Linked DNA regions of Xenopus tropicalis. The protein of the gene in region 1 interacts with the protein of each later gene in a biochemical or structural test. Links are inferred from orthologs where the notes say so. Each region holds a gene or a part of one and is shown in the gene's direction. Other genes may lie near its edges.

Evidence for each region.
Region 2: the proteins of gadd45a (region 1) and eef1a1 form a complex in vitro, tested with the Homo sapiens proteins (2 studies listed by BioGRID). The link is inferred for Xenopus tropicalis from reciprocal best matches to the Homo sapiens genes GADD45A and EEF1A1.
Region 3: the proteins of gadd45a (region 1) and cdk1 form a complex in vitro, tested with the Homo sapiens proteins (5 studies listed by BioGRID). The link is inferred for Xenopus tropicalis from reciprocal best matches to the Homo sapiens genes GADD45A and CDK1.
Region 4: the proteins of gadd45a (region 1) and pcna form a complex in vitro, tested with the Homo sapiens proteins (4 studies listed by BioGRID, with this or other methods). The link is inferred for Xenopus tropicalis from reciprocal best matches to the Homo sapiens genes GADD45A and PCNA.
Region 5: the proteins of gadd45a (region 1) and cdkn1a form a complex in vitro, tested with the Homo sapiens proteins (3 studies listed by BioGRID). The link is inferred for Xenopus tropicalis from reciprocal best matches to the Homo sapiens genes GADD45A and CDKN1A.
Region 6: the proteins of gadd45a (region 1) and npm1 form a complex in vitro, tested with the Homo sapiens proteins (2 studies listed by BioGRID). The link is inferred for Xenopus tropicalis from reciprocal best matches to the Homo sapiens genes GADD45A and NPM1.
Region 7: the proteins of gadd45a (region 1) and aurka form a complex in vitro, tested with the Homo sapiens proteins (2 studies listed by BioGRID). The link is inferred for Xenopus tropicalis from reciprocal best matches to the Homo sapiens genes GADD45A and AURKA.

Annotation. Positions count from the first base shown.
Region 1 is NC_030680.2:83,503,629-83,507,695, reverse strand, and holds the start of gadd45a (growth arrest and DNA damage-inducible protein GADD45 alpha), read left to right. Parts: upstream 1-1,267; 5' UTR 1,268-1,376; coding exon 1,377-1,420; intron 1,421-2,152; coding exon 2,153-2,254; intron 2,255-2,909; coding exon 2,910-3,123; intron 3,124-4,067. UniProt on the Homo sapiens protein: In T-cells, functions as a regulator of p38 MAPKs by inhibiting p88 phosphorylation and activity.
Region 2 is NC_030681.2:91,801,105-91,805,378, forward strand, and holds the start of eef1a1 (elongation factor 1-alpha 1), read left to right. Parts: upstream 1-1,474; 5' UTR 1,475-1,504; coding exon 1,505-1,648; intron 1,649-1,920; coding exon 1,921-2,100; intron 2,101-2,203; coding exon 2,204-2,500; intron 2,501-2,597; coding exon 2,598-2,748; intron 2,749-3,198; coding exon 3,199-3,455; intron 3,456-3,572; coding exon 3,573-3,807; intron 3,808-3,896; coding exon 3,897-4,021; 3' UTR 4,022-4,274. UniProt on the Homo sapiens protein: Translation elongation factor that catalyzes the GTP-dependent binding of aminoacyl-tRNA (aa-tRNA) to the A-site of ribosomes during the elongation phase of protein synthesis.
Region 3 is NC_030683.2:16,801,326-16,805,395, forward strand, and holds the start of cdk1 (cyclin-dependent kinase 1), read left to right. Parts: upstream 1-1,270; 5' UTR 1,271-1,336; exon of another isoform or gene 1,337-1,353; intron 1,354-2,392; 5' UTR 2,393-2,416; coding exon 2,417-2,453; intron 2,454-4,070. UniProt on the Homo sapiens protein: Plays a key role in the control of the eukaryotic cell cycle by modulating the centrosome cycle as well as mitotic onset; promotes G2-M transition via association with multiple interphase cyclins.
Region 4 is NC_030679.2:123,022,222-123,026,206, forward strand, and holds the start of pcna (proliferating cell nuclear antigen), read left to right. Parts: upstream 1-1,185; 5' UTR 1,186-1,302; coding exon 1,303-1,523; intron 1,524-2,583; coding exon 2,584-2,681; intron 2,682-3,466; coding exon 3,467-3,534; intron 3,535-3,895; coding exon 3,896-3,985. UniProt on the Homo sapiens protein: Auxiliary protein of DNA polymerase delta and epsilon, is involved in the control of eukaryotic DNA replication by increasing the polymerase's processibility during elongation of the leading strand.
Region 5 is NC_030678.2:54,674,804-54,679,081, reverse strand, and holds the start of cdkn1a (cyclin-dependent kinase inhibitor 1), read left to right. Parts: upstream 1-1,478; 5' UTR 1,479-1,606; coding exon of another isoform or gene 1,607-1,613; intron 1,614-4,278. UniProt on the Homo sapiens protein: Plays an important role in controlling cell cycle progression and DNA damage-induced G2 arrest. Involved in p53/TP53 mediated inhibition of cellular proliferation in response to DNA damage.
Region 6 is NC_030679.2:20,070,074-20,073,573, forward strand, and holds part of npm1 (nucleophosmin), read left to right. Parts: intron 1-785; coding exon 786-829; intron 830-1,578; coding exon 1,579-1,657; intron 1,658-2,102; coding exon 2,103-2,192; intron 2,193-2,853; coding exon 2,854-2,964; intron 2,965-3,226; coding exon 3,227-3,301; intron 3,302-3,500. UniProt on the Homo sapiens protein: Involved in diverse cellular processes such as ribosome biogenesis, centrosome duplication, protein chaperoning, histone assembly, cell proliferation, and regulation of tumor suppressors p53/TP53 and ARF.
Region 7 is NC_030686.2:6,088,120-6,092,089, forward strand, and holds the start of aurka (aurora kinase A), read left to right. Parts: upstream 1-1,170; 5' UTR 1,171-1,225; intron 1,226-2,845; 5' UTR 2,846-2,854; coding exon 2,855-2,896; intron 2,897-3,331; coding exon 3,332-3,629; intron 3,630-3,970. UniProt on the Homo sapiens protein: Mitotic serine/threonine kinase that contributes to the regulation of cell cycle progression.

The DNA of each region.
Region 1 (4,067 bases):
AAGGACATAAGCACAGGGGGCAGTTTTACTTTGAAATACAACATTTAGTGTGTTAATGACAAGGGTTAAGCAGTGCAGCATTACTGTTACACTATGGGACAGCATTTGCAAGACCTCCCTGCCAGTCACATGCACAACCTAAAGCAATAAATGATTTGTGCATGACTGTATGAGCTGCAGCTATACTAGCATTTACTGTTTACAGACAGAACCATAGCAAAGTATGCATCTCTATAGTTATATAAACCTCTTAATTTTACTAATAATAATATTACAGAGGACAAAGACATTTATGGGAACATCAGGAGCAAAATCTGTGGAATCAATTTAAAAAAGGGAAAAAACACCCATTGAAATGCAAAAAAAAGGTAAAATGCAGGAAAATCCTTGAAATAAGGGTATGTAAAATTGAGGTTTCACTGTATTCTTTTAATGATGCCTCAGACCAGTGCTTTCCAGGTCTTTGCTGTGACATTATAATGTTATACCTGAACAGTAGGGGTAGATTGATGTCATATAAAGATGCTTATATAAGGACCCCCAGTGGGGTGAGTCTCCATTGGGATAGTTATCATGTAAGGTGATATCTAATATGCTAGCAATAAAACGTTATCATTCGTAATTTACCATTTAAAGTGAAAAAGAACAAATAACGTGAAGAAAGCTTTGTACCATTAATGAGACAAATGTAAGACTGAAAAGATAGTCCCTTGCAAGTTTTCCCTTTGACAGCTGAATGCATCTATAAAGATAATTGTACACGTTATTACAGCTAAACACTACTACAAATGCAATGGCCGGACAGGGCTAGCTAGCGCTTACATTCACTGTGGCAAACAAGGCTTATTTTCTTCTGTAATGTAATGTGTTTGAAATGATACCTTTATTTTAAAACAAAGACATGCAATTGTTAAAGTTTTCTGTAACAGTCGGTAAGGTTCCAATATTGTCAGCAGTGAAAGGGTTATTTACACAATGTTCAGCACCTGGTAACTGTATGGAGCCAATCACAGGGCAGGCCGCTAAGTAAGCCCCGCCCCGCACTCGCTGTACTCTCGGTTCCCAGAGTAGCAGAAGAGGTCAAGTCTGTGGCCGGCAGCCTGATTTACATGAGCCAATCAGCATCGCGATAGGCAAATGAGGGGAGCTGTGGTTGGTTGGGTGTATGCGTATGAAGCCGGGTAGAGAAGGCGTGAGAGCAGAGTGTGTAGAGTCAGCAATTGGAGAACACGGGGCAGCGGCGCGCTACTGTATCAGGCAGCAGTTCCGAGAACTGAGGTGAAACTTTCTAGTTCCCAGGAAGAGCCTTGCTGGCCGCAAAATCCACTACAAATCTGCAGCGCTACGGAGCAGTGCAACCCGTACAGCAATATAATATGACTCTGGAGGAGCAGCTGTCTGGGGATCAGAGCATTGGAAAGTAAGATCTCTTGCGCCACAGAGCGGGTTATAGTGCGGATGGGGCAGTCTGTGTTCGTGCGGATGGGGCAGTCTGTGTTCGTGTGTTGCTGCTGTTGCGAGGACTTGCCTGGGTCAGAAAGGGGTTTGTGGGGTCAGCCAAAAGCATTGCGCAAAATGGTAGTTTGGTGTGAACAGATGCCTTCCATGCACCCATCTGCGCTGTGGGCACTTGCACCTCCTCTTGGGGTCGGTGGGTGCTACATCACAACGGCCCATGTAATCATTTTGTTACAACGACCAATAGCATAGCCGCCCCGGTTGCCCCTTACTGCAGCAGGGATCATTTTGTCATGAGGTGCATTCGCCCTATGGCCCCTTGCCCCTGGGCTTCTGTTCCTTTTAAACTGTGGCCTTCCTGCTTGTATAGGACTTCAGCTCCCAGCATCCAGCACAGCCCAGTGCTCCTTAGTGGCTTCTGCAATGGCCTTTCAAATGGCTCACTTTGGGACTGAGTTTTTGTTCAAAAGTGTAAATCTGTGATAAATGTACTCTCTGTAAGTAGCTATATGTAATGTGTGTGTGTGTGCACATGTCTGTGCCTGAGAGGTATTCTAAGTGCCTGTTGCTGCAGAACTTACTCAGACATAGTGCCTGACTCATGCATGGTTAGGATGCTGTTGGGAATAGCTCAGGAGTCACATTTGCATGCTTTGCTCAGATGCTCATGAGTGTTTCTTGTGTTATTCTGCAGGATGGAGTCAGTGGGAAACGCACTGGAGGAAGTGCTCTGCAAGGCCAAACTGCAGAGGACCATCACTATTGGGGTGTACGAAGCTGCAAAACTTCTCAATGTGTATGTAGGCTTTTTTTGTTACTTCCCCTTAAAGTCAACTTTAACATTATGGTTGTCACAGTGCACAAATCAAACTTAAAAATAAAAAAATCAAGGCTGCGTTTACCTTTTAGATTAAGTTTTAGTAATATATTCTGAGACTATTTGCATTGGCTCTTTATCTGTTATTGTTTGTGGTTTTTGAAGTATTTAGCTGTTTGCTCAGCTTTCTGGTTGCTAGGGTCCAATTTACCTTGACAACCAGGCAGTGGTTTGAATGAGAGACTGAAATATGAATAGGAGAAGGCATGAATGGAATACAAAGGTAATAAAAGCAACAATAACATTGTAGGTTTACAGAGCAATAGTGATTTTGGCTGCTGGGATCAGTGTCCCCCAATTACAAGATAGCATTTTAAATTGCAAGCTAGAAGAGTAGGAAGGGAAATTAATTGTAAAAAATGAGGAGTATTTGAAAAGTTGGCAAGAATAAGGCATGCTCTGACAAAAAAAAAAGTTAGATCAAAGGTGAATTGCCCCCATTAATTCCATTTAGCTTAGCGTTTGGAAACGCAGATTTATATACATACATTAATGGCGTTTACTAATCAATATTGCGCTGGGTTTGAAAAGAGGCTGACTTTAAATGTTTTCTCTGCACCTCTTGTTTTCTCAGGGACCCAGACAACGTTGTGCTCTGTTTGTTGGCTACTGACGATACCTACGATCAGGATATCGCTTTACAGATCCACTTCACCCTGATCCAGGCATTTTGCTGTGAGAATGACATCAACATCCTGAGAGTGAGCAACATGAGCCGGCTAGCTGAGATCCTGGGCGGCTCTGACAAGCCTGGGGAACCTGCTGATCTGCATTGTATTCTAATCAACGTAGGTAACACTCTCATGTGGAGTCTGCCAGGAGGGGCTTGGGTGGGTTCTGCTGTTTGCATACCAAGACAATAACGAGGGGCTTTGTAAATGGGATACTGTCACTCCTTTAAATTTACCCTGCTTATTGTTATTTGAATGCTGAATAACTGATTGTTTAGTAATACCATAGTGCTATGTTGGTCATTACATTCCCAGGTAAATAGTCATGCTTCCTCCTATTATGGTGAACTGCTGCACGGAGAAAAGTAAACACCATATCCAAATGCATTTATAATTATAGGTTACTTTCCATTTGTTCCCCGTAAAGTATGAGGGCATAGCTTATATGCACAGAATGTTCCTTCTCTGCATACTTCTCATAAGTACAAGCGGGAGCAGTCCCAGTTTCTAGCTCAGTGAATGCAGTGTGTACAGGATGTTGTTGCATTGCTCCTGTTGCCTCTGGGGAGACTTTCTGTATGGGCAGGGACAGCTCTTATATAGAACGGCAGCACAGGAATGTTCTGTCCACATAGTAATCCATGCCTTACTGTTATACAGTCTCAGACATAATACAGTCTTTTATTGAGCATTCTCCATTACATTTAATTTGTATAGTTGCCTTGGCATTGAACTCGTGCCACAACTTTGTTTTATATTTAAGATATACAGTACATGAAACCAGATCTATGTCTGTTGGATGTCCAAGGCTAAAACCACATTCTCATTTATCTTCAACATCAATGTGGCACTTTGAAGACTAAGTTGTTTTAAATGCCAAAGCCGCAGTTATAAAGGCTGCACCTGTGTTCCTTACAGTTATAGAACTGCTGCCATACACCTACACATTTTGTTGGCAGATTATGCCTTTACCACACCTACATTGCAGAACCCGGTGCTTGCATTTCCCCTGATCACTATAGCAAAGGAACAATTGGTGCTCAGAGGGAATTGTAATCTGG
Region 2 (4,274 bases), on another chromosome or scaffold:
TTCGTGATAACTCGCGCGTTTCGCTCAACAGCTGCGCCCGGAGCCGCCCTAGTGCTACTGGGAGTTGTAGTATACTAGAAGCTTACAGGCTGAATTTTCACTCAAGACCCCGCCTCTCACACTTTGGGAATTCTGGGCGCGATGATGTCACGATCAAGCCCCGCCCAGTAGAGGCAGCTATATAAAGGGTGGTTAGCGGCGGATTCGCTCTCTTCCTCACCGGGTCTGCGGCGAGTTTTAAGGTAAGTGGGTTGCGTTCAAGGGCCGGGTCGTGATTTTGAGATTTGCAGTGAAACCTGCAATTGGATGTGTGTGCTGTGTTCTGTTCCGTTGTTATTGTAGATAAATAGGTTTCCTCTGCCGTAGTTTATTTAACTTTTATGGAACCACGCGTGCATTTGTTACGGAGTTGCTTGGGGCCGTGGTCTCTTTCAGCTGTGTATTAGCGTATTTCTGGCAATTAGTGTTACCGTATTGTTACACTAGATATCTTGGCGGGAAGGGAACATGGGTGCTTAAAGTGGGCGCAAAATGAAGAACGGTGCCAAAGCAAGGCTTGCGGCCTAGTCCCAATCTGCGCTGCATCCTCTCCTATGTAAGCCATCCGCCTCCTCTCAATATATACTTGGCTTTAGGCGGATGTGGTTAATATTGCCGGTGCTGTATTATTCCAGACGGTAAATGCTTAAGGCTCGACAAGTGAACGTGGTTTGGGGAAGGAGCGAGAGAGCTGTGCGGATGGGTGGCGGCGCGCCTACATGGGATTCATTGTACGTAGTGCAGTTTAGACTGGTCAGGCGAACATAGTGTTTGTGGTGCCTGTAAGCGCTGAACTATAGCAGGACTGGGGCTATTGCCAGTGTCAGGGCCCGGCTGGCACAATGGCGCTAGTGCTGACGTGTATCACCCTCTCTCCCAGGCAGGCTCGGCGTGGCCGGTGTATCCGAGCCAGTGGGGGCGGCTTCACTCACTAAATGGCCGGCGTGCTACGGGTTACTGCTGGCCCTGCTTGAACGCGGGATAGCAGCTGCTTACTTATTGGGTTAAATGTTCTGTGTGGGCTCTGCTCTTTTCTATAGAAATGAAACGTATCTAAACCATTAGTCCTGTTTAGCGTTGCGTTCCCCCATCTGGTTGTTCCATAAAGATGGCGGCGGCTCTCAGCTGAAGGATTTTTTTTTCTCCACAAGATGGAGGCTGAGTCACAAGTGAGGAGACAAAAGAGCTGGGAGCGCTGCATGCAGGGCCTGACTCATACACCAGGGGGAGTACAGGCCTCGCTCTTGCCTTCTTCCTTTTATGTAATGAGGGATTTCAGGGTTTTTTTTCCAACTAGATATCTGTGCAAAGTTCTTGAATTGTGGGTGGGGCTGCTTGTGTCTCCAGCCCTTGGAACTGCTGAGTAATGCCTGCCATGGCTTGCTTTGATGTGACCTATATTTTTAGCTTTTTTTTTTTTTTTGATGTTTTTTAGTGTCCACCGCCAAACATCTAACAATCCACAATGGGAAAGGAAAAGACTCACATCAACATCGTCGTCATTGGACACGTAGATTCTGGAAAGTCCACAACAACTGGACATCTTATCTACAAATGTGGTGGTATCGACAAGAGAACCATCGAAAAGTTCGAGAAGGAAGCTGCTGAGGTAAATTTTGTTAACAATCGCACTTCTTGTGGTATTGCAGCAGTCTCACCCCCCCCCCCCCTTACTAAATATTTAGTCCTGCACATGTTTGTTTAGACAAGTCTTGCCTGTGCACTAATGTGTACTTGTATTTGGTTTGTATTAATAGCCACCTGCCTTGGGTGTTTGTGATAGTAGGGGGAGTATAAACATTGCAGTGTGTCAGGTCATTCTTGGCAGAAGCCTTGTAAGGGGTTTTTAATCATGTCATTGCTGAACTTTTCACCTAACAGATGGGCAAGGGCTCCTTCAAGTACGCCTGGGTCTTGGACAAACTGAAGGCCGAGCGTGAACGTGGTATCACCATTGACATCTCCCTGTGGAAATTTGAGACCAGCAAATATTATGTTACTATCATTGATGCTCCAGGACACAGAGACTTCATCAAGAACATGATCACTGGTACCTCTCAGGTAGGTTTTAAGTCCCAAGCAGCTTTGCTATTTATATCTAAAGTAGGTGAGGCAGGCTTGCTGTTAAGTGCACATGAGTAAAAATGTATGTTTTCTCTTGTAGGCTGACTGTGCTGTCCTGATTGTTGCTGCTGGTGTTGGTGAATTTGAAGCTGGTATCTCAAAGAACGGACAAACTCGTGAGCATGCCCTCCTTGCCTACACTCTGGGAGTAAAGCAACTGATCGTTGGTGTTAACAAAATGGATTCAACTGAACCCCCATACAGCCAGAAAAGATATGAGGAAATCGTTAAGGAAGTCAGCACATACATCAAGAAGATTGGTTACAACCCTGATACTGTTGCCTTTGTACCTATTTCTGGATGGAACGGTGACAACATGCTTGAGCCCAGCGCCAATGTAAGTACTGTGGCAGTTCACTTAAATGTCTACAGCCTGGCATACTCTCTGGTTAGTGTAACAGTATTTTGATGTATACAAATCTTGTTTTTTCTAGATGCCTTGGTTTAAGGGGTGGAAAATCTCACGTAAAGAGGGATCTGGCAGCGGAACTACCCTGCTGGAAGCTCTTGACTGCATTTTGCCACCAAGTCGCCCAACTGATAAGCCTCTGCGTCTGCCTCTGCAGGATGTCTACAAAATTGGCGGTAAGTAACACTTTTCCTATGTGTATGCTGGAATGTTGTTCGTGCTTTAGGTTTACTGGCCTACATGGTTTGTGGGGGAAACCAAGTTAAAAATCGTGCATCTGTTTAAAAAAACTTAGCAGCCTTTTTTTTTTTTTTTTTTTTTTGTACAGGTTAACTGCTTGTCTGAAATAATCCCTCCCCCCCCAACTGCAGTAACAAATTTGAAGTTCACCAGGCATGGATGTCCCTAGTTAACAGCTTTGATATATTACGTTACTGCTTTTTTAATGTCTAGTGAATAAAATATTGGCAGCAAAGAGCTCATAAATCTAATTTTAGCTTAGACACTCTAAACAAGTCTCCAGAAGGAAGACTAGTAATTGCCAACATGTACGTTTAGGCCTTGTTTTGGCAGTGCTGGGATTTAGTATGTTAAAGTATTCACACTAAAATGGCTGTTTCTTTCAGGTATTGGTACTGTACCAGTTGGTCGTGTGGAGACTGGTGTCCTTAAGCCAGGCATGGTGGTTACTTTTGCCCCTGTTAATGTAACAACTGAAGTTAAATCTGTTGAAATGCACCATGAAGCCCTTAGCGAGGCCATGCCCGGTGACAATGTTGGCTTTAACGTGAAAAACGTTTCTGTGAAGGACGTCCGTCGTGGCAACGTTGCTGGTGACAGCAAGAATGACCCACCAATGGAAGCTGGTACCTTTACAGCACAGGTATGCAAGATGGCTTATGGCTAAAGGAAGTGATATGGCTTTCCATAGCTGGCTATGGGGGCATTTAAATCGCTTTGCATAACTCTAAGATTGTTTTCTAAATGTCTGACTTAATAGGTTATCATCCTGAACCACCCAGGCCAGATTGGTGCTGGATATGCCCCTGTGTTGGATTGCCACACAGCTCACATTGCTTGCAAGTTTGCTGAGCTGAAGGAAAAGATTGATCGCCGTTCTGGTAAGAAACTGGAAGACAATCCCAAGTTCCTGAAGTCTGGTGATGCTGCCATTGTTGACATGATCCCAGGAAAGCCTATGTGCGTGGAGAGCTTCTCTGACTACCCCCCTCTTGGTAAGTCTTTTTCAAAATAACCTTTTTGCAGTCTTGTAAAATGCTACCCAGTAGGCCCTTAAGCTAATTATCCATTTATTTTTTTCAAGGTCGTTTTGCTGTCCGTGACATGAGGCAGACTGTTGCTGTAGGAGTCATCAAGGCGGTCGATAAGAAGGCTGCTGGAGCTGGCAAAGTCACAAAGTCTGCTCAGAAAGCACAGAAAGGCAAATGAATATTTCCAGCATCTCTCACCTCAGTCATAACCAGTGGTGGAGGATTGGTCTCAGAACTCTTTCTATCAATTGGCCATCAGAGTTTAATAGTCAAAGACTGGTTAATGATTACAATGCATCGCAAAAGCTTCAGAAGGAAAAAAATGCTCGTGGACACATTTGTTTGTGGCAGTTTTTAAGTTATTAGTGTTTTAAATCCAGTAATTTCTAAATGGAAGCAACTTGACCAAAATCTGTCACCAAATTGAGACC
Region 3 (4,070 bases), on another chromosome or scaffold:
TAAGCACAATTCAGCAGGAACAGCCCCCTAAGTTTGCTCATAGCCTGTACAGAGAGATACCATAAAACTATGGCAGCATAGGGATTCCCCTGTACTAAGCACAATTCAGCAGGAACAGCCCCCTAAGTTTGCTCATAGCCTGTACAGAGAGATACCATAAAACTATGGCAGCATAGGGATTCCCCTGTACTAAGCACAATTCAGCAGGAACAGCCCCTGCTGTTGTTAGTGTGAATTCCTGTGGTCCTCTTTACAGCTAATAAAGTGATATTCACTGGAGCCCACCAGTGCTCCAGTGAATGGCCAGATGGAAACCCTAGCTACTATTTCTTGAGTACAGTGACGCTATTGTATCCCACAGCCCTGGAGATCTTTAGCACTGTCCCATATAGGGTGAATTGGCCCTAACCTGCAAAATGTTGACCTGCACCCACATCTCGCCCTGCCCACGACCTGCACCCAACCCAGCAATGTTCTCCCAACCCATGGGAGAACCCTGATCACTAATCAGAATGGCCAAGGGGGTGCATGTGGGCACACAGGAATTATATTTTGTAACACATATGCCTACTCTGCTGCCCTCCGGCTCTTGCTGAAGCCCTCTAATAGCCAAATGCTTTGTGGGGGTTGCTGGGAGTTGTAGTTTACTGAGGTTTCAGGTCAGACACACAGAGCTACTAGTAGCAGCTACTTGCCACAGCTACTAAAATAGACAATGCAGATCATTTATTGATAATTATTTCTATATATATATATATATATATATATATATGTGTGTGTGTGTTTTAGCAGAGGCAATTCTCAGTATTGTCTATGGCAGTGTATTTTCTGGTATATAGTACCCATGACAAAGTAGCTCCTACTAGTAGCTCTGTGTGTCTCCACCCTAAGGGACCCCCTTTTACCTTATGTTTTACTACTTTATTTGTTATTGAGTGAAATCCCTGTGCCGCTATAGACACTGCACTTCCCGGATATTAGATTAAATCAGTATACAAAGCTAGCCGCCCGACCACTTCTGTTCCTAGCCGAGTCACGCAAACAGGTCTCTAGGATTTTATCCACATCACGTCCCCGCCCGCTGCTGTTTTAGCTACCCGCCCTTCCCAGCTTCCTTCGCGCCGTCACCGCTGCCTGATTCTTATTGGCCGCTTTGAATATCCACGGCCGCAGTGATTGGGTTAGGCTTGGACAGCGCTTTGCGCGGTTGGTTTGAAATCTCTCTGTTAGGCAAGCTGCAGCTTTAGCAGAAGGAAGCTGAGGTAGGCGAGGGGGAAAGGCCTCTTGGGCTCTGGGAGTTAAACGGGGGGCTTTGTTCTGCCGGAGGGTTTGCTGGGTAAGCTGCTGGGGCAGGTAAGGGGGGAAAGGGCTGTAGGGGGTACTTTTCTGCATTTTGCTTGCCCTGGCTGCAGAGTACGTGCTATGGGTGCCGAGTATCACCCTACACAGGGACTCAGGGGTCGGAGATGGACGCACCTGTCTGATTACAGCCATTTAATTGCCCCCTGTGTAATCATGCAGGGGCTGTCACTCATTAGATCTGCCCCCTCAGGCCCTTTAAATCTCCAGACATTTCAATTCCATCGGCTGAGCTTGCAGACTGCATTGATTGTGTTTGTGGGGGATGCTGGGACTTGTAGTCCATATCTGGGCACCTAAGCTTAAGTGCTATTGCTGTAGGGCTGGCTAGTAACTAGTTAAGGTGCAGAAAAGGGCTGGGGGAGTCACAACTGCCAGCCATAGACTTACAGAGCTGCTAGTTATAGTTCAACAACAGCAGGATTATGAGACTCTAACTGCAACTGCTTAATCATATCTGGGGATAGAGGTGCAGTTCAGCAGCAGGTTTGACAGCTTTATATTAGGCACCCAGCATAGGGCTGTTCTGCTGCCTGTTACTATGGGGTTGGTGCCATAATGTATATTGGGTTACTAAGGCGGCAGGGGGGTAGGAAGCCAGGGTCCCATTGTAATGTGATGGGGACAGGGCATAATAGTGACCAGACTGGAAACAAACAGAGGTGCAGTGTAAGGCAAGGCTGCCGGGGATTGGTCACGATGAAACGTTCGAATGATGCACCGAACAGCAGTATGGCAGCTGCCGCAGCTTAAAGGGCTATTGTACAGTAGCAGATGTATATTATACTGTATAAAGCACAGGGGCAGCTGTCACGTATGTGTAGGGCACCAGAAATGCTGCTTATTCTGATTAGAACCCAGCCACCGAGGGGCGCCGCTTAACTACAGTTTGTATATCACTAGGACTGTAATGGCTGCTTCTGTTTGTTTTACTAGTACAAATATATATCTATAGGCTCAGACAGCGCTTTAGTTATGTGTTTGTTTTTCTGATATCCCTGAAACGAGTGATCTCTATTTCTCCTCTGTGCAGGAATCCAGCCTTGAGGAACCAGCCATGGACGAGTACACTAAAATAGAAAAGATCGGAGAGGGTAAGTACAGGGGAATTCTGTTATGATTGTTGTGCTGCACTTTTCTCCTTGGGGGGGGGGGAACTCTGTTAATTATTCTTCTGCAGTTCGGACAGTTAAAGGGACAGTTAAAGCCTTGATGTGCGAGGCTGGGGGTCCTCAAACCAGTTTGCCTATTGATGTGCTTTACAATCTGCAAGGGGCACAGCTCTGTAGTTATGTAGGGAATTTGGCATATACATGGCCAGTCTATACCAGATTTACTCAGTGTCAGGGAGATCAATGGCATTAAAGGGAAACTAAAGCCACATTAGTTTGTACTAAAGCAGAGGCCTGCAGTGCCCTTACTCAGCTATAGAACTGCAGCCCCCTGCTCTAGTTTCTCTATCTCTGCACTAGTACAATCCAACAAAGGCCCCTGTTCATCCCCTTATTACCCTCTTTGTCTAGATTGCCTAGCTATAAAGAGAAGAATCGCCCAATATCCTGATGCACTCAATATGTACTAAGCTATATACCGGGTCAACCCAAAAGGTGTGGGAACCTCCCAGGGTCATATACAGAAAATGGATATAAATGGGCATTTTCCTTGCCCATTTCTCAAAGTGCTGCCAAGGAAGCCTGAAAGGGCGAAATACACACTGGGCTTTTTTCATGGGACATATGGAATCTAAATTTATTTTGCCAATGATGTTGGTGAGAAATAATTAGGGATCTATGTCCAGCCTGAACAACATGCATTCTGAGCATATTTGGTGCCAACCAGGGTGCCCAGCTGGCTCATTTTTTACATTCGGGGGTTGTGACGTGATCTCTAACTATGTAGTCCATGATTTATTTTAATTGTAGGTGTGTGTTTTTTGTATATTCCTTGCCTTGTCTGGGTAAAGCTCCTACAGTTCATGGGTTTCTGTCCCCCCCACTCTCCATTTTCTGCATTGCCTTGTATCTGTACTTGGCTTGAAAGCGTACTGGCACTTCAGGCCCAAAGGAAGGGCGCTGGGCTAGGGGGCTTACACAGCAGGAAGTGTAGGAACAGCAGTTGCCCTTTACTTCCTAATCTCCTGATGCACCATAGCAGCTTGCCCTGTTCCCCCAAATTGAATGCTAACCATAGTTAGGGTATGGGACCTGTTATCCAGAATGCTCGGGACCTGAGGTTTTCCGGATAAGGGCCTATCCATGACTTAAATCTGCTAAAAATCATTTAAATATTAAATAAACCCAATACTAGATACTGTTTTATTATTATTACAGAGAAAAGGGAATCATTTAACCATGAAATAAACCCAATAGGGATGTTCTGCCCCCAATAAGGGGTAATTATATCTTAGTTGGGATCAAGTACAGGTACTGTTTTATTATTACAGAGAAAAGGGAATCATTTAACCATTAAATAAACCCAATAGGGCTGTTCTGCCCCCAATAAGGGGTAATTATATCTTAGTTGGGATCAAGTACAGGTACTGTTTTATTATTACAGAGAAAAAGGAATCATTTAACCATGAAATAAACCCAATAGGGCTGTTCTGCCCCCAATAAGGGGTAATTATATCTTAGTTGGGATCAAGTACAGGTACTGTTTTCTTATTACAGAGAAAAGGGAATCATTTAACCATGAAATAAACCCAATAGGGC
Region 4 (3,985 bases), on another chromosome or scaffold:
AATACAAGACCTATATTCGTTCTGGTGACAGTCACAATATATTGGCTGTGCCTTGATCTTGCAGATGGTGCAATTTTTTGATCTTGTGGATGGTAGTACTCACAGAGCCTCAGGGGATTTTACTTAACCCTGAGTCCATTTGAGCTTCAACACTGGCTGTTCTGGGGCAGTAGAGCTTTTGTTTTTTGGCCTACAAACAAGGCTGGAACACTTAGGGGCTAATTCATTAAACCATGATTTTTGGGTGGTTAAAATCATGATTGGAAAAAATTCGGAGTAACCACAAAAATTCTTTTCTCGTACGAAAATATCGTGGTTGCGTTCCGAATTTTCGGATCTGAACGTTCGTAAACAGTGTGAAAACCTTTCTGGCTTTCATAGTCTTCCATAGGACTCAATGGCACAGATCCAACCTGGCCAAAAGATAGTAAGATAGTTTACCAAATTGAATTCCGAAATGGTTGTAGTCTTTCCAACTTTTTGGTAGAAGTTAACGAAAACCATGAAAAAGTCATGGAATTTTAACAAAATTATTGTGGACATTGTGAAAAGTTCTACAAATTAGAAAGAATAAGATTTTTTCTCAAAAACAAAAAGATTGTGGTTTAATGAATGGGCCCTATAATTTTGCAAGTATTCTGGCCTTCGCAGCATGCATTCCTATATTTATATCTCCACCATTAATTACATTGGCATCAAGCATTATTTTTACAGGCCAGGGCAGTAAAATTTTGGGCTCAGGTGGCAGCCCTGGGGTAGGGAGTAAAGGTGGTAGAGAGTGATTGGAGGTGTAATGGGGCATGATAGTAAAAAATGTAAAACATAGAACTAATATGTCTGCGGTTTAATATATAAAAAAATTAATGACCCCATCCTTTCTGCATTTTCAGGGCCCCAGTAACTAAATGTCCTTTGGGTCTGTTGTCACTGACCAGAACTAGTATAGCTAATCCAACAAATTACAGTTATTTATATTTATTTTTCATATTTATTAGGTGTAGAGTTCATAATGGGGCACAAGCAAAGCTTATATAACGGAGACCATGGTGTTTCAGTGACAGGGACTGACTGCACAAGGAAAGATATGAGGGGGCGGGTCATAATTTTGGCGCCTTACATTCGTATAGTGACATCACCACTATAATATAAGCGGCGGAAGGCCGGCTGGCGGGCTCATTTTGGCGCCGGAGCTTCAGTTGGGAGGAGGTACCACAGAGGTACTAGGGAATTCAGCTACTGAGCTCCGCCATCTGCACCCCCGGCACACTTCTCTCTTTCCCCCAGCTCCGTACAGCCGTCACCATGTTTGAAGCTCGCTTGGTGCAGGGTTCCATCCTGAAGAAAGTGCTGGAGGCCCTGAAGGACCTGATCGATGAGGCGTGCTGGGACATCACATCGAGCGGCATCAGCTTGCAGAGCATGGACTCCTCGCACGTCTCGTTGGTGCAGCTCACTCTGCGATCGGACGGCTTTGACACCTACAGGTGCGATCGCAATCAATCCATCGGCGTCAAGATGAGCAGGTAAGGAAGCTATGTGGGCGCTTAGTAAGTGCGCAGCACTGCGGAGATCACTAGTTGAAGGGACGGGCTAGTGCGGCAGGCTTAATGCGTCCAGACTTTACTATTGGGTACACGTAGCGCGATACACGCTCTCATTTTATTGTATTTGGCGCAAATATGTATTCCATACATACATATTCCCCCCCCCCTCTGTCATGGACTTGGCCGATCTACTCCCCCCCCCCCCGCCTCTGTCATGGACTTGTCCGTTCAAGTCTCAGTGATTGCGCGCGCAACCTGGCTTCCCGCGTGACGTCACATACGCGCCAACTTCAACAAAGCCGCCGGCTTGGCGGGAAACCGGCTCATTGTGCCAAGCTTCAGCAGTGCGGCCACTCTAATCCAAATGCCACAGGATAGTTGGAAAATAAGAATTTTATCAATGAACCGAAATAAAATTATTTTCCTTAGTGTTGCCTCACTTTGTCTAACACTTCCCCTACACTTCACTGAGGCCCACAGCTGCTCAGTGTCTTTTCTTTAATGGGCCCTCATGGGTTCTATGTATATCTTTATAAAGCGCTACTTATGTACTCAGCGCTGTACAGTAAAATACATTAATACAAATGGGGTTAAGATAATAGATACATACAAAGTATAACAATAAATACAAGATACAGCTGCAATAAGTTAAGAGTCAAAGAGACAAGAGAATGGAGGTCCCTGCCCCATATAGCTTACAATCTATATAAAAAGGTAAAAGGAATACGCTGCTGTATGCATCTGGAGTGTTGGAAAGCTCCTTCAATGGGGATTTTTTTGTGCCGCCTTGCTTAGACAGGGCCCCTGGTTTACTCGGATTGTAAGCTCTACGGGGCAGGGACCTCCTTCCTATATATATATATATATATCTTGTCCTCCCTGTGTGTAAGCTGCGTACCCTTGTGGTGCTTTATAAATAAAGTTATACATACATACATTGGAGTAAAATGCCCAGGTTGCTTACCAAGATGTCTACCTTTGCCAGTCTCCTGTTTGGCATTATATATAACTATATATCTATCTTTACTTTTTTTCACAGTATGTCTAAGATCTTGAAGTGTGCTGCAAGTGAAGATATCATTACTCTGAGGGCAGAAGACAATGCTGATACAGTTACAATGGTGTTTGAGTCGCCAAGTGAGTATTTGCAACATTACACTTTGGTTTTCATACCCTTCATGCCAATAAGTAAATTCTTTATTATAGTAGCTTGGTGCTTATTTCATTGGCTTGGAAGGCAGGGCTAAAACAGTTATAGGTAATGGAACTTTTTAATGGATTTTTATAACTATAGTATCTTGATTAATTTGTGCTAAAATAGAAACAAGAAATGCTTGAATTACTGATTATACTGTACCAGCCTTCAAAGTTGTACAAAGCAGGTAGCCATCTTGGCTCTTTTTGTGGCCTTGTAAAATTTCCTTCTGACATCAAACCATGTTAAATTCTGATCCAGAAGGCACTGGTCACTACTGATAATAAATTAAATTAAATTAGGCTTATGTTTTAAATTAGTGTGCATATACTGTATATTTGTGCAGTTTAGAAGTGAAGTTTAGGGGTTGTTGTAAATCATTAAAAAAAAAAAAAAACTAGGTTTCTGTCATAGCTATTACAGGGCATTATTAAATTCTAATGCTAATTGCACTGGTTTTTAAGGTGCCAGTGATAAGAATCTGAAATACTATTCAGCCTTATCTTGTGACGTTTATATTCCATATATGTACAGTATATTGTCGGTCCCTAAGCACAGAGCATGGGCAGTGAATCAGCAGAAAAGATGTGGAAGCTATTTGAGGGCACATATCTTCCCTGCTAAAGGGCCGTGTTTGCCTTGGGCTGGTACAGAACCTCAAACAGTGAAGCATTTCTGCCCAACGTTTTTGTTCTGCTTAAGTTTAACTTAAATGTTTTTAATTTAGATCAAGAGAAAGTTTCTGACTATGAAATGAAGCTAATGGACCTTGATGTGGAGCAGCTGGGCATTCCTGTAAGTATATTTTTTTAATGTTTAAGTTGTTGCTGATTTTTGTCTGCTTACAAAACAGATTCGCTAGGATCACTGTTCAAAACGTAACTGGACACTTTTTGATTGTCTATTAGTTATTGCAAAATTTAAACCCAAAGCAGTGTACACTCAGTTTGTACACTTCAGTTGTTTTGGTTTTTATAGTTCCAGTCTTGGGGTTTCACAAAGTTCTAAGGGGGTAATATACATGCTGCTTGTAGAAACTCCCCTTCCTCTGTACCCATGGCAGTTATGTGACCTCTTATGCCAGTCTAAAGTAACCCTGTCTAATGCAGTTAATTTTGGATTGCACTCTGCTAAATTGTCTGGTTTCTCATGACAGGAACAAGAGTACAGCTGTGTAATAAAGATGCCATCTGGTGAATTTGCACGCATCTGCAGAGATCTAAGCCAGATTGGTGACGCAGTTGTT
Region 5 (4,278 bases), on another chromosome or scaffold:
AACCCAGTCTGGTTGCTATGGTAAACAACCCTTAGCAACCAAATAACTGCTGAAATTCCAAACCTGAGAGAGCTGATGAACAAAAAGCTAAATAACTGAAGAATCACATAAAACCAACTGCAAATGGCCTACAGTGTCTACAGCAGTGATCCCCAACAAGTGGCTTGGGAGCAACATGTTGCTCACCACACCCTTTTATGTTGCTCCCAGCGGCCTCAAAGCAGGTCTTAATTCTTGAATTTCTAACTTGGAGGCAAGTTTTGGAGGCATAAAGACCATGGTTACTACCAAACAGAGTCTCCTGTAGTCTGTCAATCCACACAGGGGCTACAAAACAGACAATAAAAGCCTTTTTTGGTCACTCCCAGGAACATTTTTCATGCATGTGTTGCCCCCCAACTTTTTTTATATTTAAATGTTACTCAAGGGTCAAAAAGGTTGATGACCCCTGGTCTACACCAAACTAAAAAATTAATAGAAAGGTAAATTACCCCTTTAAAAGACAAGAAAAGTCATTTTTGACTGAAGTGCCAATTCACTCAAGCGCACCCAAACCCGAACCTGCAACAGTCACCCAAATTCTTTTTTTTTATCTCTCTTTATGCAATTTTTCAGCAGTGAGATAACAACAAAGGAACATTACAGGTAGCAATATCATAAGCACTGTTATATAGTTTGGATGAAGTTATTTGGGTAGTAACAATAGTTCTGATAGTTGAAAATTACTCCTGCTATAGATGGTATTTTGATATGTAGAGAAATATGCGAATGGTATACACTGTATAAGGGCGCTTCTTCATTTATATTTCGAATCAGTCTGTAAGTATAACATTGTCCTTTTTGTCCCATTTTATCCAAATATCATTATGGGTATCTAATTTGTTGCCCAACCATGCTAATAGTCACCCAAATGTTATACTGAACACCCACAGCTAAATGAGTAAGTCAACATAGCAGCTATATTCTCTTGTGTGTGTGGGGTGGGCCTAACAAATTGGCACCCAACCCCAAGTGAATATTAATTTCCTAGTCCTTTAGTGTGGCTTTATCGTCACATTTCAGCAGCAAAATGTTTTGATCAAAGCCTCTCTCAAAGAGTCCTACCCGCTCTCAGCCATACAAACCAATTCGGCAAAAGCAACCTAGCAAAGCTATGCGCAACTAACACTCTCTCCTTAACAGGGCAGTGGGGGCGTCAGCCAACCAAATTGATGGCAGAGTCTCTAACTTTACAGTTCTACCATATAGCAGTAATTACAGTCACCCCAATATGTACACCGTAAATATTCGTTGTGAAAGGGGCCGAAACTACAACTCCCACAGTTCAACGCCACACTCATATTCCCTATTCGGAAGATTGAAGCAGACAGGGCGTGGCTGATGTCTAAGCGGGTTCCTTGAGCCCCCGCCCATTAAGCCATAACCCCACCCTCGTATGTTGCCGCGCCCTCTCGCTCTCGGGAACTCCAGCTCCTGACGTAATGTAGGATTTAAGAAGCAGAGTGAGCGTAGTAATAATTGAATGTAGCCGGGACTTTCGCTCGGGTTGTTTGTTGTGCCATCCCCGTGGATATTGCGCTGCTGTTTGCCAGACATATGAAAACAAATGAAAGGTAGGAAAATGCTACGGGACTTCTACAAGTAATAACCACTTGGTTGGTTTGTCCAGTTGCGGTTTATATAGAATTTACGTTATCAATAGTCTTTCAAGCTGTATAGCTGTTTGATTTGTTGCTGCAGCCTTTACCCAGTTGTTATGCATGTACCTCTGTAGCGCCAGTGATCCCCGTCTGTCTGTCCCTGTGTGCAAGGATGCAGTTATGGCAGGCAGGGCAACTTTGCGCGGATGCACCTGTATTTGTAGCTGGGATGCGCAATTGGGACGCTTTGTGCCCTGCCACTGGGCTTGTTGGACCGCTCTAGGAGGTAGGAGGATGGTCCGGCTTTGCGGGGAGCTCAATGTTGTACCTGTGTTTGTTTTGGACGTTACTGTGACAATGTTACGGCACCTGTCACCCCCCGCTAACCTCACTGATCCTATTTCTTACAGCTGCTAGCTCGGGGCATTATTACTGTGTGTGTGGGTTACTAGTTGTCATTGACTACCTGTCTATTCACAAGCGTCCTCTACAACTCCTTGACCCTAGCAACTAAGTCACTGCAAATAAAAGTGGGGACGATTGATGCAGCTTCAGTTTTGTTGCGATGAGGTTGTAATAACTGCGTTTTTAATCTAGAGAAAATAATCTTTAGGGTGAAGACACACAGAGCTGCCAGTAGCAGCTACTTTATCACAGCTACTAAACGCCAGAAAATCCCCTGCCATAGACAATACTGAGAATTGCCATGTGTCTTCACCCTTAGGATCACAAAGGCTATGATGTGTGTGTCTGGCCACATAGATCTATGGGCTCAGCCTTTCTGTGGAACTAGTCCAGACATAGCTTCCTCCTGCTGATGCACTACTTGGGCTGAACAGCTCCATAGGCTTTAGTGTAACCTACAGCTTGTCACTCATTGGGATCACACTGCTTCACCCAACTAAGAGGCATTTATATACCATGATTATTTGCAACATTTCTGAACTAAACATCTTTATGGCTTGTTTTCTGCAACATTTTTATTACCATTCCAACCTGTGCCCATCAGCTGTTTCAGAACTACAACTCCCAGCATCTGTGGAAGTTTTTACTTCAAAGATAGAGAAAAAGGGTGAAAGGTTGGACACTTCAGAAAAACCCCATGTATTCTCATCAGCAATTGCTTTTTTTTATTAGTCCTTATTTCTTGCATATTTATAATCAGTCAATTTCCTTGGAAGTGCTAAGGCTTATCCCAGTGTTATGGGCTCTACAGGTTAACCCCTGCTGTACTGGCTCACCCATAACACCAGGCATTCAGCATCTCCCACCATTCCCTATTAGCACCTGTAAAGAGCCTACAAATCACAAATGTATGTATGTATGTATGTATGTATATCTTTATTCATAAAGCGCTACTTGTATACGCAGCGCTGTACAGTAGAATACATTATTACAAACAGGGGGTTAAAGATAATGGATAAATACAAAGTACAACAATAAATACAAATAAATACAAGGTACAGTTGCAGTAAGAGTCAGAAACACAAGATGAAGGAGGTCCCTGCCCCGTAGAGCTTACAATCTATATAAATGCATTGTAATTTAACATGGATGCTTCGCAGTGAGGAGTTTGATGTTTTTGCAACTTTTGAATACTTGATGGGCACCTGCCACAGACACAGGACTGGTACCTTTTCTCTGCTATCTTTATTTCCTCTTGATAACATTGGCATGAAGTGTAATGTTTACTGTTAAAATGCCTGCCAAGTGGCCGCCCTCCTAGGATAAAGTGATGCAAGGATGAGTTTCCCTCCAATATTTTCTATGAATATAAATTTCTTTCTGCAAGTCTGGATTATTGAAAATTGATTTGGGGCAGCAGAATGTTAGTGGGCTGGCAAACCAACCCCACTACTAAAAGAATGGATATCATTTGTTTTCTTTTATTATACCTTGATTTATATTGCTGTTACTGAAGCTTGATGTGTTGGGGGTTTAATTAATAATTTCTGGGTCAACAAACTGGCACTGTGCATATTAGACTAAGGCACCATGATTGTAAAATATCCAGCACTGTCTGTTATAATTTGAAGAAACAGAATGATCTGTGTGCTCCAAACATTTTGGGGGTCAAATCCAGCACTGAACTATCGATCAAGCACTTTGCTATAATGTGGTATTATAAATTAGTTAATGTTAGGTGTTTGACTATCATATTTTTGTACTTACCACACTCTGTGTGCGTCTAATAGTGCCATAACTTGCAGGCGGGAGCACAAGTGCACAGTTTAGACAGCTTTCACGGTCATACTTATTGAATGATTTGGCACCAGCATGAGATCATCGAAATGATCATAGACACATCACATCTATGGAAAATAATACATCACCACACCCGAACACTTGCCCTAATACTAGGCTAGACGTAATATAAGGGTTAATTCTTGTACAGCCATGCTCCCATAGACCAGAGAGCTTTAGCTTTAGTATGACTTTGATTCACTGTACAGACTTTACTAGCAGACAGCAAGCCTTATATATAATATTAAACACTTGCTCAACGACCAAGGTTTTTTTTTTCATATGTTAACAACATTGGTAAATATTTATCCAAGCCCTATGTACGTGATAGTGAGAAGGTAGGTAGGTAAAGCAGATCTTGCCTTCGTAATGTAATGGTTCATACTTCGAGTTG
Region 6 (3,500 bases), on another chromosome or scaffold:
CCCTCTTTTAGTGCCTTTGAGGGGGGGGAACTGGAGATGGGAGCTGACCAATTCAGTGCAGTGCTTAAATGCTGACTAACTTGTACTAAGAAAAGAAGAAAACGCATTGCTTCTGCTAAAAAAAATGATCCTTTATTAAAGGAACAGTAACACTAAAAATGAAAGTGTTTTAAAGTAATTAGAATATAATGTGGTGTTGCCCTGCACTGGTAAAATTAGTGTTGGCTACAGAGACTCTACTATAGGTTTATATAAATTAAGCTGCTGTGTAGCCATGGGGGCAGCCATTAAAGCTGGAAAAAGGGAGAAAAGGCACAGGTTACATAGCAGATAACAGATAAGCTCTGTAGAATATAATGGGGTTTTATCTGTTATCTGCTAACTTACCTGTGCCTTTTCTCATTTGAATGGCTGCCCCCATAGCTACACAGCAGCTTTGTTTATATAAACTATAGTTGTCCTTCTAAGGCAAACACACCAGTTGTACCAATGCAGGGCAACAGTATATTATATTGTAATTACATTTATACACTGTCAGATTTTGGTGTTACTGTTCCTTTAAGTTAGCATGAGTGGCTCCTGCGAAGCAAACGGCCTGGTGTGTTTCGGGAAAAATAATCATGGGATAGACCTATGGTTTAAGGGTCTTTCCTGAAAAGTGTCAGGCAGTAGCCACTCAACTTAATAAAGTTTAATCAAATGTATTTTAGTAGGAGTGCAGTTTTTTCTTGTGTGGTGGGTTTTTTTGTTGTCTGTGATGTCTAAATTCTTGTATGTATTTGCAGAAAAAAACACGTCTGGAGGAAGAGGACGAGGCTGATTCAGACGAGTATGTATATAGTGTGCTTTTCTTTATGCTTTGAGAGGAATTGCACTTCTTCAGGCACTGTCCTTTTCCACTGTTGGTTGCTATCGTTCTTTCCCTTAGTTTGTGTAATATTTTAGCTGTTGCAGAACAGCTCTCCTGGCAAAGCAATGTCCCCAAAGCTAACTAAACAGATTGCTCTGTGTGACAATCACCCCACTGAGAGGTTTGAATGTTTTTTTAAAAAAAAACAAAAAACCCCAGTGATTGTAATTGCTAACCTGAAACCCAGGGCTGGTACTCTTGTTAGGAGAAAACCGCACCGACCCGGGGTAGCTGCAAAGCCATGATCCTTTACCTTCTGTCTTCACGCCGCTTGCACAGTAAAGTGAAAAGCCGAACTTTATAACAAAACTGCTTTTTTACTCTACTGCACATGTGCCAGCCTCAGGATTCCCCAGGACAGGCAAGAGATTGAAAAGGATTGCTCATTTGCAGCTACTCTGGGCTGGTGATTTCTCCTAACAGGAGCACCAACCTGGGGTATAAAGTAAGCGATTCTCTGAATAATGAAATGAGATTTAAAGTTCTTATAAGATTTTCAAATAAACATTTATTACAACAAGAGGTAAGATAGAAGAGGAGAGAGGGTGAGCCTGGGGGGAGAAAGGCAGACATGCACCAAGCTCCTGTTGCAGCAAGGCTTCCCAGATTTTGTCAAGTGTACCCATAATAACCATACAGTAATTCACCTGCTTTACCTTTTTATTTAGGGATGATGATGATGATGACGATGATGAGGAGGAGGACGACGAAGATGAGGATGAAGAGGATGAAACACCTGTTAAAAAGGTAACTTGGTGACATTTGTATTTTTTTTCACTTTTGTTAACTGTTACAATGCAGTTACATACAAATATACTAACTGCAACCGGCTGTGACATCTGACATGCAAAAATCCACCAATCACAGGGTAGTACCTCTGTGTGACTCTCCCCCCCCCCCCCCCCAAACCATTTCATATTTGTTGTGCTGACTAGTTTACAACTGTAAAATGGGTAGTTCACCATCTAGACATTTTGTTATGGTTTCCACTGTTTTCTAATAGTTTGTCAGAACATGTTTGTTGTTTTTTAGTTTTGATTCTTGTGGGGTGGGGTCATTGATTCTGTAAACTTATCTAATTTGTTTAGTTTGAGCAAAAGGCAGGTTTTGTACAGGTATCAGACAGCTTCAGCATGAATAAGTATCCAGTTCTTGTGTCTTAGGTATTTTTAAATTTGCATTTCCTTTATAGACTGACTTGCCTACAAAACCAAAGGCAGCTCAAAAGTTAAATCACAATGGGAAGGCTTCTGAATTACCCACACCACTAAAGACTCCAAAAGTAAGTGGGGGGTGCCTAAACTGGGGAGCTGGTAAATCTAATTTAGACTGGAATCCCTGAGAAGCTTGCAATCAGGGTTTGGGTTGAAACAAAGTTACAAGTTTAAGTTTTACTTACACAAGGTCATTTTAAAAGTACCCACAGATCTTGATTATGCACTTTAAGCAATGTTGAAGCTGCTTCTACTTGATAACTAGCAGAGGTAGGGCCCCTGGTGTGCAACCCACCAGGAAACAGCAGTATCTACTGTTGTCTGTCCTGTACCATCTCTGATCCCCTCCAATATCAGATTTTAGATCCAGGGCCTTCTGTCTTCCTGTTTGTACCCAGGTAACTTGTGTGCCCACTACATAAACAGCCAAGTGTACAGAGTTCTATATCGTGTTCAGCCAAATTTTATTTTATTTATTTTTAAAGCAGTTGTCCTAAGATATGTATTCAAAAGTTCCCCCCAGGAAATGCCCCTAGAACTAAACATTGAGCTTGGGGAAGGCCTTTGAAACTCTGGTAAATGTGCCAAACCATATTACATTACAAAATTAAATATGCAGCCATTTCATGATTTTTAAAGTTGCTTAAAGTTTTGAAGATTGGGTGGAGTTCCCCTTTAAATGTAAATATTCTGATTTTCTGTTAAAAGTTTTTTTTTTTTTCTCCTTAGACTCCAGAGCAGAAAGGAAAGCAGGATACAAAGCCTCAAACACCAAAGACACCAAAAACGCCTTTGTCTTTTGATGAAATAAAAGCAAAGATGCAAACTTCATTAGAAAAGGTAATCTAAGTATGAATATAATTTTAATCTGAGCCAATATCAAGCTATCCTGAGGATAAGAAATTTACTTTGTTTTTTCACATCGGCCAAAAAGCTTAAACGGTTCAGTGTAAACATGCCTAACATTAATTCAGAACACTACATCAAGTCAATGGTTACTAACTGGTAATGGGTTAGAGACCTGCAAAGGAAATAGTAGTGTTCTGGCTATTTTAGACATTTTAAGATGTTAAAATGTGCATTCTCACTTTTGTTTCCTCAGGGCACTGTTCTTCCTAAAGTGGAAGTAAAGTTTGCAAACTATGTGAAGAATTGCTTTAGGACAGAAAATCAGAAGGTAAATTTTAAGGCTTTCGGTGCTTAAGAATTTGTATGGTTTATGGTAAATGCTAAAGACCCTTCAGCATGAATTGCATCACTAATGCAGCCTTACACAGGCAGAATTTATGAATTGATTGAATGCTGTAATTGTTAAACTGAGCTCTAGTCTGAAATGTATATTCAGTAATCTGAGTTAAGATGCAGTGTTCAGGCTG
Region 7 (3,970 bases), on another chromosome or scaffold:
AAACCCAGTGAGAATGAGGAATGAATGGATATTGGGGAGTTGTATCAGGAGTCAGAACCAGCAGTGCAGGGAAGGGAAAGGGACAGACACAGTGACAGTTACACATAACTATAAACCCAGTGAGAATGAGGGATGAATGGATATTGGGGAGTTGTATCAGGAGTCAGAACCAGCAGTGCAGGGAAGGGAAAGGGACAGACACAGTGACAGTTACACATAACTATAAACCCAGTGAGAATGAGGAATGAATGGATATTGGGGAGTTGTATCAGGAGTCAGAACCAGCAGTGCAGGGAAGGGAAAGGGACAGACACAGTGACAGTTACACATAACTATAAACCCAGTGAGAATGAGGGATGAATGGGTATTGGGGAGTTGTATCAGGAGTCAGAACCAGCAGTGCAGGGAAGGGAAAGGGACAGACACAGTGACAGTTACACATAACTATAAACCCAGTGAGAATGAGGAATGAATGGGTATTGGGGAGTTGTATCAGGAGTCAGAACCAGCAGTGCAGGGAAGGGAAAGGGACAGACACAGTGACAGTTACACATAACTATAAACCCAGTGAGAATGAGGAATGAATGGGTATTGGGGAGTTGTATCAGGAGTCAGAACCAGCAGTGCAGGGAAGGGACCGATGCACCGGAGCCATTGGGCAGCCATATTGCTGTGTGTATGGGATATAATAGCGGGCAGCACATAGTGACTGGCAGAGAGGGAGCGGGCAGGATACTCACCGAGCAGAAAGGCTTCCGGTTCCTGGGCGGGGCGGGGCTATGCCGGTAAGTGCGCACAGATACTCAGTAAAGGCCCAGATAAAACTCTTTCAAACCAGAAAGCGCTCCCAGACCCGACTATACGTCATACAGGCGCGACAGGCCAGCGTCTAACACGTCACACACCAACGCGCAGGCGCCTTGCGCGTCAAGCTCTTGTCACTCGGATACCTAACGGATCTCCGCTCTCCACCAATCAAAGCGAGGCAGCTGACCGCCTGCAGCCAATCAGCGCTCGGAGCGGGTTAAAGGGATTTAAAAGCGGGCGATTTGAATCGGAGTGGGCTGTGACGGTTGGAGGAAGTGAGGCGAGTGTTCTGCCTGACGGGAAGCGGAGCTGTCGGTTTTGCGTCTGCCGCTAACCAGTGTCTGTCCGTGGCTTCAGCTGCTGCAATCCGGTCTGTGTGAGAGCTGCTAGAGTCCCGGCCCGCACATTCGGCTGCCAGGTGTGTGTGTGTGACTGGGCCAATGGGGAGCTTTGTTTCATATGGTTCGGGAGTGTTGTGTGAACTGAGTTATATATTCTGGGCTGTAACAGCTGCACCCTCTGTGCTTCAGCCATTGGTTATCTTTATGGGCCAATGAAACTGCATCTCCCAGTGGCACTGGCTCATGTGGGGCCCATACAGGCCTTAGTACTGCCCCCCCCCATATGTGTTTGTGTGGGGCCCATACAGGCCTTAGTATTGCCCCCCCCCCCCCCCCCATGTGTTTGTGTGGGGCCCATACAGGCCTTAGTATTTAGTGTTAATCCATGACTGAGTTTTGGGAGTTGGTAATGTGTGGGATTTTGGATTTGGGCTCCCAGTCTGGAGATGATTGCCCCCCCCCCCCCCAGCAGGAAAAAGGGTGATCCTTATCGTTCCAGGGGTACCCAGGGCACAAATAAGCACTCACCCCAAATCCCCCCCTAACTGGCCTTCAGGCTGGGCCCCCTTAGCCCATAACAAGGTTACAGATATATAGAAACATTGGGGTAACAGTCACCCTGCTATAGTTCCAGGGGTACCCAGGGCACAAATAAGCACTCACCCCAAATCCCCCCCCTAACTGGCCTTCAGGCTGGGCCCCCTTAGCCCATAACAAGGTTACAGATATATAGAAACATTGGGGTAACAGTCACCCTGCTATAGTTCCAGGGGTACCCAGGGCACAAATAAGCACTCACCCCAAATCCCCCCCTAACTGGCCTTCAGGCTGGGCCCCCTTAGCCCATAACAAGGTTACAGATATATAGAAACATTGGGGTAACAGTCACCCTGCTATAGTTCCAGGGGTACCCAGGGCACAAATAAGCACTCACCCCAAATCCCCCCCCCTAACTGGCCTTCAGGCTGGGCCCCCTTAGCCCATAACAAGGTTACAGATATATAGAAACATTGGGGTAACAGTCACCCCGCTATAGTTCCAGGGGTACCCAGGGCACAAATAAGCACTCACCCCAAATCCCCCCTAACTGGCCTTCAGGCTGGGCCCCCTTAGCCCATAACAAGGTTACAGATATATAGAAACATTGGGGTAACAGTCACCCCGCTATAGTTCCAGGGTACCCAGGGCACAAATAAGCACTCACCCCAAATCCCCCCTAACTGGCCTTCAGGCTGGGCCCCCTTAGCCCATAACAAGGTTACAGATATATAGAAACATTGGGGTAACAGTCACCCTGCTATAGTTCCAGGGGTACCCAGGGCACAAATAAGCACTCACCCCAAATCCCCCCCCTAACTGGCCTTCAGGCTGGGCCCCCTTAGCCCATAACAAGGTTACAGATATATAGAAACATTGGGGTAACAGTCACCCCGCTATAGTTCCAGGGGTACCCAGGGCACAAATAAGCACTCACCCCAAATCCCCCCCTAACTGGCCTTCAGGCTGGGCCCCCTTAGCCCATAACAAGGTTACAGATATATAGAAACATTGGGGTAACAGTCACCCCGCTATAGTTCCAGGGGTACCATGGGCCTAATAAGATTACTCACTCACCCCAAATCTCTCTAAGCATAAGAACTTGCAATGTTTGCTCGGTTTCTATTGACGGTTTATATAACTGAATATGTTGGTGACAGGCACATATAATGGAACGGGCTGTTAAAGAGAATCTTCCTTCTAATGTCAAGGTAAGTCTTTATCTGCCCAAGTTACTAAGCACTTGGGGAGCCACTATTTCTTTTTGTATTTAAGTTCCCCTGCGCCTCAGTAGGTGATTATCTTTATCGCTGTGAGATGTAAACTGTTGAGATGTGTAGTTCAGTAACTCGATCACACTGGAAGGCAGAAGGAGGGAATACTTGCCCTTGCGCCGGTAACACGACGTTCCTCTGCCTGCGCCACAAAATGCTCAGTTTAATGTCTGTAAAAGTCTTTTGGGTTTCTCTCTTTAATGTTATGCATTCTCCCTGGTAATAAAGAACTGTCAGACTACTGACCATAGTCTGTGCTAAGAAATTCCCAGCATCCTTAGCTGCCCAGGGAAGTTGTTTCCCAGAGATCTTTACATCCATGGTTTGGCATTTGATTATTCTTACTAAGGTTTCTCTTTTTCTTTACTGTAGGTTTTCCACCCCACAATGGAGGGTCCCAAACGTATCCCAGTTACCCAGCCTCCGAGCACCCAGGTTAGACCTCCTGGGACTGCCGTCTCTGCCCAGAGGATATTGGGTCCCTCCAATGTGCCACAGCGAGTCGTGTCTCAGGCTCAGAAACCTGTTATGTCCGCTCAGAAACCTGTTATGTCCACTCAGAAGCCAATGACTCAGGGGCCACTGAGGCCAGTAACTCATGGGCATCAGGCTGGCAAACCACAGGGACCAAATGAGAATCGTACTCCACAGCAGACCAGCCATTCCTCCAGTAAGTGCCCTGGGACTTGAGAGCTTACTGCAATAGCCTCTGGCCGGTGGCTGTGTTCTTCGGGCCGCGTTGCCTCTGGCCGGTGGCTGTGTGCTTCGGGCCGCGTTGCCTCTGGCCGGTGGCTGTGTGCTTTGGGCCGCGTTGCCTCTGGCCGGTGGCTGTGTGCTTTGGGCCGCGTTGCCTCTGGCCGGTGGCTGTGTGCTTTGGGCCGCGTTGCCTCTGGCCGGTGGCTGTGTGCTTTGGGCCGCGTTGCCTCTGGCCGGTGGCTGTGTGCTTTGGGCCGCGTTGCCTCTGGCCGGTGGCTGTGTGCTTTGGGCCGCGTTGCCTCTGGCCGGTGGCTG